2 linked regions of the Cricetulus griseus genome follow. The protein of the gene in region 2 interacts with the protein of the main gene of each other region in a biochemical or structural test. Links are inferred from orthologs where the notes say so. Each region holds a gene or a part of one and is shown on either strand. Other genes may lie near its edges.

Region 1 (3,646 bases), about 130 Mb from region 2:
GTTCTCATGCACCATGGCACATGTGCACACCCCCACACACAAATGTTTAAAAAGACCAATAAAATGGTGGGTGGTGGCCGGGCGTTGGTGGCTCTCGCCTTTAATCCCAGCACTTGGGAGGCAGAGACAAGTGGATCTCTGAGTTCGAGGCCAGCCTGGTCTCCAGAGTCAGTGCCAGGATAGGCTCCAAAGCTACTCAGAGAAACCATGTTTCGAAACAAACAAACAAACAAACAAACAAACAAAAAATCCAAACCCAAACAAAAACTCAGGCATGGCTGTGATTCCAGCACTAGGGACATCAAGACAGAGGAATCAAAAGTTCCGAGGCCACCATAAACCACATAGCACCAGGCAGCCCAGGCCACAAGAGAACCTGCTCCTAAAAGATAAAAACAACCATCAGAACACAGTCGGGTGAAATAACATTTGCCAACTGTCCCAGTATTAGAATGGTAAAAAGCAAAAAGATGGTGAAACAAGCAGAATATGTAGCACTCTGGAGGCAGAAGCAGACAGATCACTGAGTATGAGGCTAATCTGATCTATACAGTGAGTTCTAGGACTGCCAGGGCTACATAGTGAGACAGTCTCAAAACAATAAACCCGCCCCCAAAAGTAGCTACAATGAATGTAGCTTAAAAATAAACAGGAGCCAGTGAGAAGGTGCAACAACTTAAGGTCTCTTTGCTGCTGAGTTCTAAGCCTGGGAGCCACATGGTAAAAAGAGAAAGGTCTCCAAGTCCTACTCTGACATCCACATGTGCACTGTTTATGTGCCCCTACCCTCAAATAACAAAACCAAAGAGGAAAATAGGAGTGGACAAGGAGCTTGTTGACCAAGTTCTTGAATAGGTTCAATCCTCAGCAACAGGCAACCCCAAACCAAACCAAAAACATCTCATAATAGGACTGCTGAGATGGTTCAACAATTAAGAACACTTTGTTTTTGTAGACCAAAGGAGAACTTGCAAAACTAACCTCTTGGGTTGGCTCTAGATTATCTGCCTTTACAGGACTGGCCATGCTCTTCCTCCGCTTTGTATTTCCTCGAGGGGACTCGTCACGAGAGCGCTCTGTTCTCTTCAACATTGCCCGAGTGCTGGAGCTGCTGCTGGAGCTGCACGGGGAAGAGGAGTCAAGCAGCCTGCATCGATTGCCCTTAGGGTAAGAGACAGAGCCACCTCGATTACAATCTGATCACTTGAATGACAAGTCCTAGATTATTCCAGTCAACATAGTTATGGACTACTTTGTTCAGCGGCCAACTACTGAAAACTCCACATACTGGAGTAACTTACAAGGTTTGTAGGTCTTCTCATGACAAGGGGAGCTGTCCAGAGGCTCGCCATGCACGAAGGGGTCTCCTCATCATTCTAGAGCAAGAGAAAAAACTGTTTTTAAATAGATCCAGTGGAGGGGCTGGGAAGAAGAAAAGGACCCAGTTGAGATTAATAAATGCTTTGCATTTAACTCTCCTAAAGAGTGCCAGACAAGCCTGAATACATTTTTTTGTTTTGTTTTGTTTTTGGGGAGGAGCCTTACTTGTAGCACAGGCTGGCCTAATTTGTGGCTATGGCAATCCTGTTCAGCATCCTAAATGTTGAGATTACAGGCATTACCACCAGGGAAGGCTAGCACCTCCTTTTTTGGTACAAGAGATTGAACCTGAGGCCTTGCGCACCCTAAGCACACATTCCGCCACTACTCCCCCTGCAATAGGATTTAGTCAAGCAGGGAAGAGTCCCAATAATCTCACAAATCAATCAGCCAGCTGAGACTCCAGGAGCTGTTTTTACTTAGGAGCCTTCTCCAGTGGTAGCTAGAATGAGTAGGCACACCCTCACACCCACAGATGATACCTTCAGATTCTCTCCATCGAGAAGGTCTATGAAGCCATCATCCTCATCAGACAAAGTGGCTTTCACAGGGGACTGGGATGTAAAAAGAGGACTGAAATGTCCTGATTCATTGTTATCACTTTCATTTGAAGATAGCTGAAAGACAAAATTAGCAAGAACTCTAGTCCATTTTGATTTGCTTAGCTGGATTGCTCAAAAAAAGAGATAAGCTTGTACACCATGTGGGAACCTGGCATCCTCAGAGATCAGAAGAAGACATTGGATTCTCTAGCTCCTGAGCTCTTACTTTGTTTTTCCCTTTTAAGACGGGGTTTCTTTTGCTGCCTAGGCAGTCCTGGATGGAACTCATTCTGTAAACCAGGCCTCAAATTCAGAGATGAGCCTGCCTCTGGGGTTAAAGTTGGCACCACCACTGCCTCTGAGCTCTTCTTGCAGTCTAACTGCAAGCTGTGGCAGTGCACAATCTGTTGGAAATACCAGTCTCTACCATAAAATAGTATACCAAAGAAAGTTGAACAATACCTATGTAAATCCCATTCAGACAGATGGAAACAAAGAGAACTTGTTCTAAAGCCTTTCCCAGTCCTTTCTTACTTTTGGAGACAGGGTGAGCCAACACTTGTGAACCTTTCTTCCACCCCCTCAAATGTTGAGATCACAAGTGCACACTGGATTAAATGACAGCTGGGGCTACAGAGATGGTTTGGAGGTTAACAGCAAGCATGGCTCTTGCAGAAGCTCAAAGTCTGATTTGATTCCAAGTATCCACCTTAGACAGCTCTGTTTTCTGTGATCCTAAACCTCTGGCCTCCTCAGCCATCTGTACTCATAAACAGCCTACTCACTCCATAATTAAAAGTAAAAATGATTTAAATAAAACACAGCTGCCCAATTTTAAATTGAGAGATTATAATGTCTCAGACACTAAGACAAAATCTTTACAACTATAATCTCATTTAAGTCACAGCACATACTATTTTAGTCAATCCTTTTTTTTCTTTGAGATTAAATATTCCTAGACTCCACCCTGTTTTAGCCGCCGGAGGAGCTGGGACTATGTGTACCAACATACCCAAAGAATCCTTTGATTTTTGTTTAATAAAAGGAAACTTATGCTTAAGGTTACCAAGATCATTTACCTCACCTATTTGACACCCAAACCTGGAAAATAAGTTGGCTGTGGTGGCAAACACCTGTAATCCCAGAGACAGGAGCAGTTTTCAACTGCATAGCAAATTTGAAGCTAGCCTGGGATTTTAAGAGATCCTGTCTCAAAAAAAAAAAAAAAAAAAGCAAATAAGAATCCCAACCCAAACAAAAGCTAAATCAATAAAATTTTCACTGGCTTTTTAAAAGTCTGCATCCTTGGCTGGAAAGATGGCTCAGAGGTTAAAAACTCTGGCTGCTATTCCAGAGGACCTGGGTTCAAATCCCAGCAACCACCCTTAATGAGATCTGGTACCCTAGTCTGGCCTGCAGGGATAAATAAATTAAAAAGTCTGCACCTGGGGGGATGGAGGGAGGGGGGAGGGAGAGGGAACTGGGATTGACATGTAAAACAATCTTGTTTCTAATACAAATAAAAGAAAAATCTGAAAAAAAAGTCTGCACCTCAGCATCTGTGCCTTTAATGATCAAGCAATCATAGAAAATCATGGCATTCTGATCCCCAAGCATCCATCAAATATATTCTATTTCAGATATAATCTCAAACTGTTATCATGAACTGGGGAATCTACAGTTAAATTCTGTCTCTTAACACATCCTTTGACAAATAAATCAAC
Region 2 (4,124 bases):
AAATATTTACTTATTTGAGATGAGAATGTTCCCTATTTTTGTGGTTGGGCACCTACTGGGGATCCTCCTACTTTAGTCCAGATGCTTTTAATCCTAGCACTGGGGAGGTAGAGTCAGAACTACAAGTTGAAAAACAAACTCTGCTCCTTTTTCCTCCCTGGAGTTCAGCCTCTGGAATCCCCTTTTCCAGGAGCCCGCCCCTCAAACCTCCCTATACTGTAAACTTGAGCCTGTTCCCTTTTGTTGTTGCTGATGTTTAAAAACAAAGCCTTTGTAGCAGAGGCTAGTCCTGAATTCCTTAACCTCCCACTTCCACTTCCCAAGTGCTTACATTGCAGGCATCTGCAAGTTTACGCTTTCATCCCCGCCTCCACCCTTACCTTCTTTCCAGTCTGTAACTTGATTTCCTCTTCCTCTCAGGCAAACTCCTAAAATCTCAGCAGGTCCTATATTATACAAATGACCTATATACTTTTTTTTTTTTTTTTTTTGCTTTGTTCGTTTTGAATGAGTCTCGGTAAGTTGCTTAAACTGGCCTTGAACCGTGGTCCTCCTGCCTCAGTCTTCCAGCTGGCTGGAAATTACAGGCCCGCCGGCGAGGACCCAAGTCGTAAGCACCAGGGTAACGCCTGCCTAATTTAACTAACTCGGCCATCCGAGCTCCCCAAGACCGACTCGCCCTCCCATAACTCTGCGCCGCGCGTACCAATTCATGAGGCTGAAGTAGTCCCGAGTCGGGTCAGGTGGCTGCAAGGCGCGGCAGTGTTCGCAGAAGAACCCATCCCCACTCTCCACACCCCCAGCGCTGCCGCAGTTCCAGCACTGGCCCGCATTGCTCTTGCCCGAGGCAGCGTTGCTGCTCAGCAGTCTCCTTCCCAGGAACCCAGCTAGTCGCACCTCCCACACGCAAACCAAAGCACGGGCCCGGCAGCCCCACATCCGGACAGCCGCCCGTCTGGCCTGGGTCGAGGGACTCGAGGGAAAGGAAGCAAGAGTGACTCGTTGCTGATTGGTTTAGTGAGCCGAGGAGGCGGGATCAGCCTCGGTAAAACAGGATGCCGAGTCCCGTTCTGCATCCTAAACTACAACTCCCAGCAAGCCTTGAGGCTAACGCATGGCAGCCACATTCGGGTCTTCTTATTGGTCGTGCCGAGCAGAAAGGCGTTTTGATTGGCTGAGGGTGGAGTTTGCATGGGTAGGTTTAGCGCCACACCACTGGTTGCGGCGGTCTGGGGTGTTTGTGGCTCCAGGTGTTCTTTCGCGGTGAGTTTTAGCGGGAAATTTTTCTTGCCTGTCTGAGGATTCGAATCGGGTCTCAGGGTCTTCTGCAAAGGGGCCCTTCGCAGCTTCCGCCTGGTCTGTGTGTGCAAGAGAGCTCTGCACGCAGGCGACTCTTCCTTGTTTTTTAGCTGCTCTTCGAGGGGGACATTCTCTTGTTATTTACAAGCTGAGACATGGGAAGGCACAGAGTTGGGCTCTTCAATGCCAGAGAGCGAAGTAGTTTCATAGCGAGTATTATAAATGTTAGTGATCATGCCAGGTCCCCGATTCATTCTTCCCAAATATTTACTGAGAACCACAAACATCGCTGCTAGGCTCTGCAGGAACTGGAGTGAGTACGTAAGGAAGTGTGTGGGGTAGGGTGGCAAGGAGTGGATAGGAAGCAACCAGCCATTCTCAGCTTCTCTACACGCTAGCGCTGTGTAATTGGCCGATAAATTCTGTTCGTGATCCTGAAATTTTGCTGTGGTCACTTTTTTTAAAAAAACTCATCAATGATTCTGCCCTTCTGAGGTGATCATAATATGCCTGTTCCTTTTATAAAAAATTTATTTTTAAAAATCATGTGTCTGTGTAAGTCTGTACAGTGCGCAGGGAGGCCAGCAGAGGGCAGTGCATTCCCAAAGAGCTGGAACTACTGGCATTTGTATGCTCCTGGATGTGGGTGCTGGGAACTGAACTCAAAAAAGCAACGTGCTCTTCTTAACCGCCGCGATGTCTCTCCAGTCCCTAAGTATACCCGTTCTCCGCTTCGTATGTTTGGTGGTACTCGGCATGGAATCCAGGACTTTGCGTCTACTATTGAGTTATATTCACATTCTTCACTTAGCTTTGGGTAAAGATTTATTTTTAATTATATGTTACGTGTGCAGGAGTATGCTCACGTGAGCGCAAGTGATTTCAGGGGCCACGAGAGGACTTCAAACCCACTGGAGTTGGAGTCACAGGCAATCTTGAGCTTCCAGACTTGGGTGCTGGGAACTTACTGAACTTTTGGGTTCTACAAGAATAGTTCTGTTCTTTGCTGCTGCATCATCTCTCCAGCTTCCATTCCTCGTTCTTGAATTTTAGGCCTCGCTCCTTGAATCTCCCCTCATTGTTGGACTCTGTTTTTGAGGTCGGATATGAAGAATCAGCAGTCCCACAGCAGTGGTTCCTGTTCACAGTCCCAGGGTGGCTTCACTCAGTCACAAGGCACTTCCTCTCAGTTACACGACCTCTCCTCACAGTCTCAAGGCACATCCAGTTCCTCTAGCGGCACAGTGTCATCCTCCAGCCAGTCCTCTCATTCCAGCTCTGGGACACTGAGCTCTTTAGAGACAGTGTCCACCCAGGAGCTCTGCTCTATTCCTGAGGACCCAGAACCTGAGGAGCCTGGTCCTGCCCCTTGGGCTAGGTTATGGTCTCTTCAGGAAGGATTCTCCAATCTGGGTAAGGCATTTTGTTATATAGTATAATGTATTGTTCAGGGAAACAGGGGTGGTGGTTAGATTGTTGCAACAGAAATCTCAGGGCCCCTATAACTGGTTAGAGGTGAGAAAAAAGTTAAAAAAAAAAAAAAAAGTGGAGGCTGTGGTGGAGTGCCTGGGCTGCCATTACCTGCCATGTACTCACTGTTATTTCTCCTCCTGGTTGATCCTCGTGCAAAGAATCAGACTTAGGCCTTATGCATGGTAGAGTGAGCTACATCTGTTGTTCCATCCCTAGCTACCTTATTTTTATTATCAAATAGAATTTTTTGAAATTTCATAGGCTGGCCTCAAAATTTATCTTTTTCTTTCATTTTTTTTCAGAGAAAAGGTCTCATAGCCTGGGCTGGCCTTGATCTCACTATGTAGCTGAGCTTGACTTTGAACTCTTGATCTTCCTGCTTCTATTTCCCAAGTGCTGGCTTTATACGAATATATTATCAGGCTCTACGAGACAGGGTTTCTCTGTATAGTCTTGGCTGTCCTGGAACTCGCTCTGTAGACCAGGCTGGGCTCCGAGTGCTGGGATTAACGGCATGTGCCACCACCGACTGGCTACTCATTATTTTTGAGACAAGAAATTCTGCAGCCTAGGTAGGTTTGCAATTCACTATGTAGTTCCTCATGGCCTTGAACTTGCATCGAACTTCTTGTCTCAGCCTACTGAGTAGCTGAGATTACACATACCAGGCATACCTGGTTCAAATTTATAATTTGTATGTGGATATCCGGTTGATCCAGAGCTATTTCTGAAAGATACTTGTATTATTCAGGGTTCTCTAGAGGAACAAAACTGTTAGAACTGATATTCATTATTATATTTCATTTTTTAAAAAATTATTTATTTTGTGTGTATTGGTGTTTTACCTGCATGTATATCTGTGTGAGGGTGTCAGATCTTGGAGTTACAGACCCTTGTGAGCTGCCATGTGGGTGCTGGGAATTGAACAAGGGTCCTGTGGAAGAGCAGTCAGTGCCCTTAACCGCTGAGTCATTTCTCCTGCCCCCTATACATTCATTCTTATTCTAGTGGTTTACAGGCTGTGGTCCAGCTAGTCCAACAATGGCTACCCATGGGAGGTCCAAGAATCTAGCAATTACTTGTTCAGTTCATAAAGCTGGATGTCTCAGCTGGTGTTCAGTATACACCATGATCCTGTTGAAGTAGGCTTTACTGCCGGCGAAGGAATGCCCTTGCCAGTAAGAGTGAGAGCAAGCAAGAAAGAGAACAAACTTCCTTCTTCCATGTCCTTTATATAGGCTATCAGCTGAAGGTGTGGTCCAGGCTAAAGGTGGATCTTCCCACATCAAAAAAATCTGCATTAGTCAGGTAGTGGTGGTGCCAGGAAGCAAAGGCAGGCAAAGCTCTTGAGT

What was found. The genes of interacting proteins can lie anywhere in the genome.
Region 1: of the proteins of Chek2 (region 2) and Cdc25a, one has a biochemical effect on the other in vitro, tested with the Homo sapiens proteins (5 studies listed by BioGRID, with this or other methods). The link is inferred for Cricetulus griseus from reciprocal best matches to the Homo sapiens genes CHEK2 and CDC25A.

The regions. Positions count from the first base shown.
Region 1 is NC_048597.1:217,357,689-217,361,334, reverse strand, and holds part of Cdc25a (M-phase inducer phosphatase 1), read right to left. Parts: intron 1,998-3,646; coding exon 1,863-1,997; intron 1,377-1,862; coding exon 1,302-1,376; intron 1,162-1,301; coding exon 982-1,161; intron 1-981. UniProt on the Homo sapiens protein: Tyrosine protein phosphatase which functions as a dosage-dependent inducer of mitotic progression. Directly dephosphorylates CDK1 and stimulates its kinase activity. Also dephosphorylates CDK2 in complex with cyclin-E, in vitro.
Region 2 is NC_048597.1:90,621,536-90,625,659, forward strand, and holds the start of Chek2 (serine/threonine-protein kinase Chk2), read left to right. Parts: upstream 1-1,183; 5' UTR 1,184-1,263; intron 1,264-2,352; 5' UTR 2,353-2,405; coding exon 2,406-2,712; intron 2,713-3,074; exon of another isoform or gene 3,075-3,344; intron 3,345-4,124. Other genes in the region: iron-sulfur cluster co-chaperone protein HscB, read right to left, coding at 707-939. UniProt on the Homo sapiens protein: Serine/threonine-protein kinase which is required for checkpoint-mediated cell cycle arrest, activation of DNA repair and apoptosis in response to the presence of DNA double-strand breaks.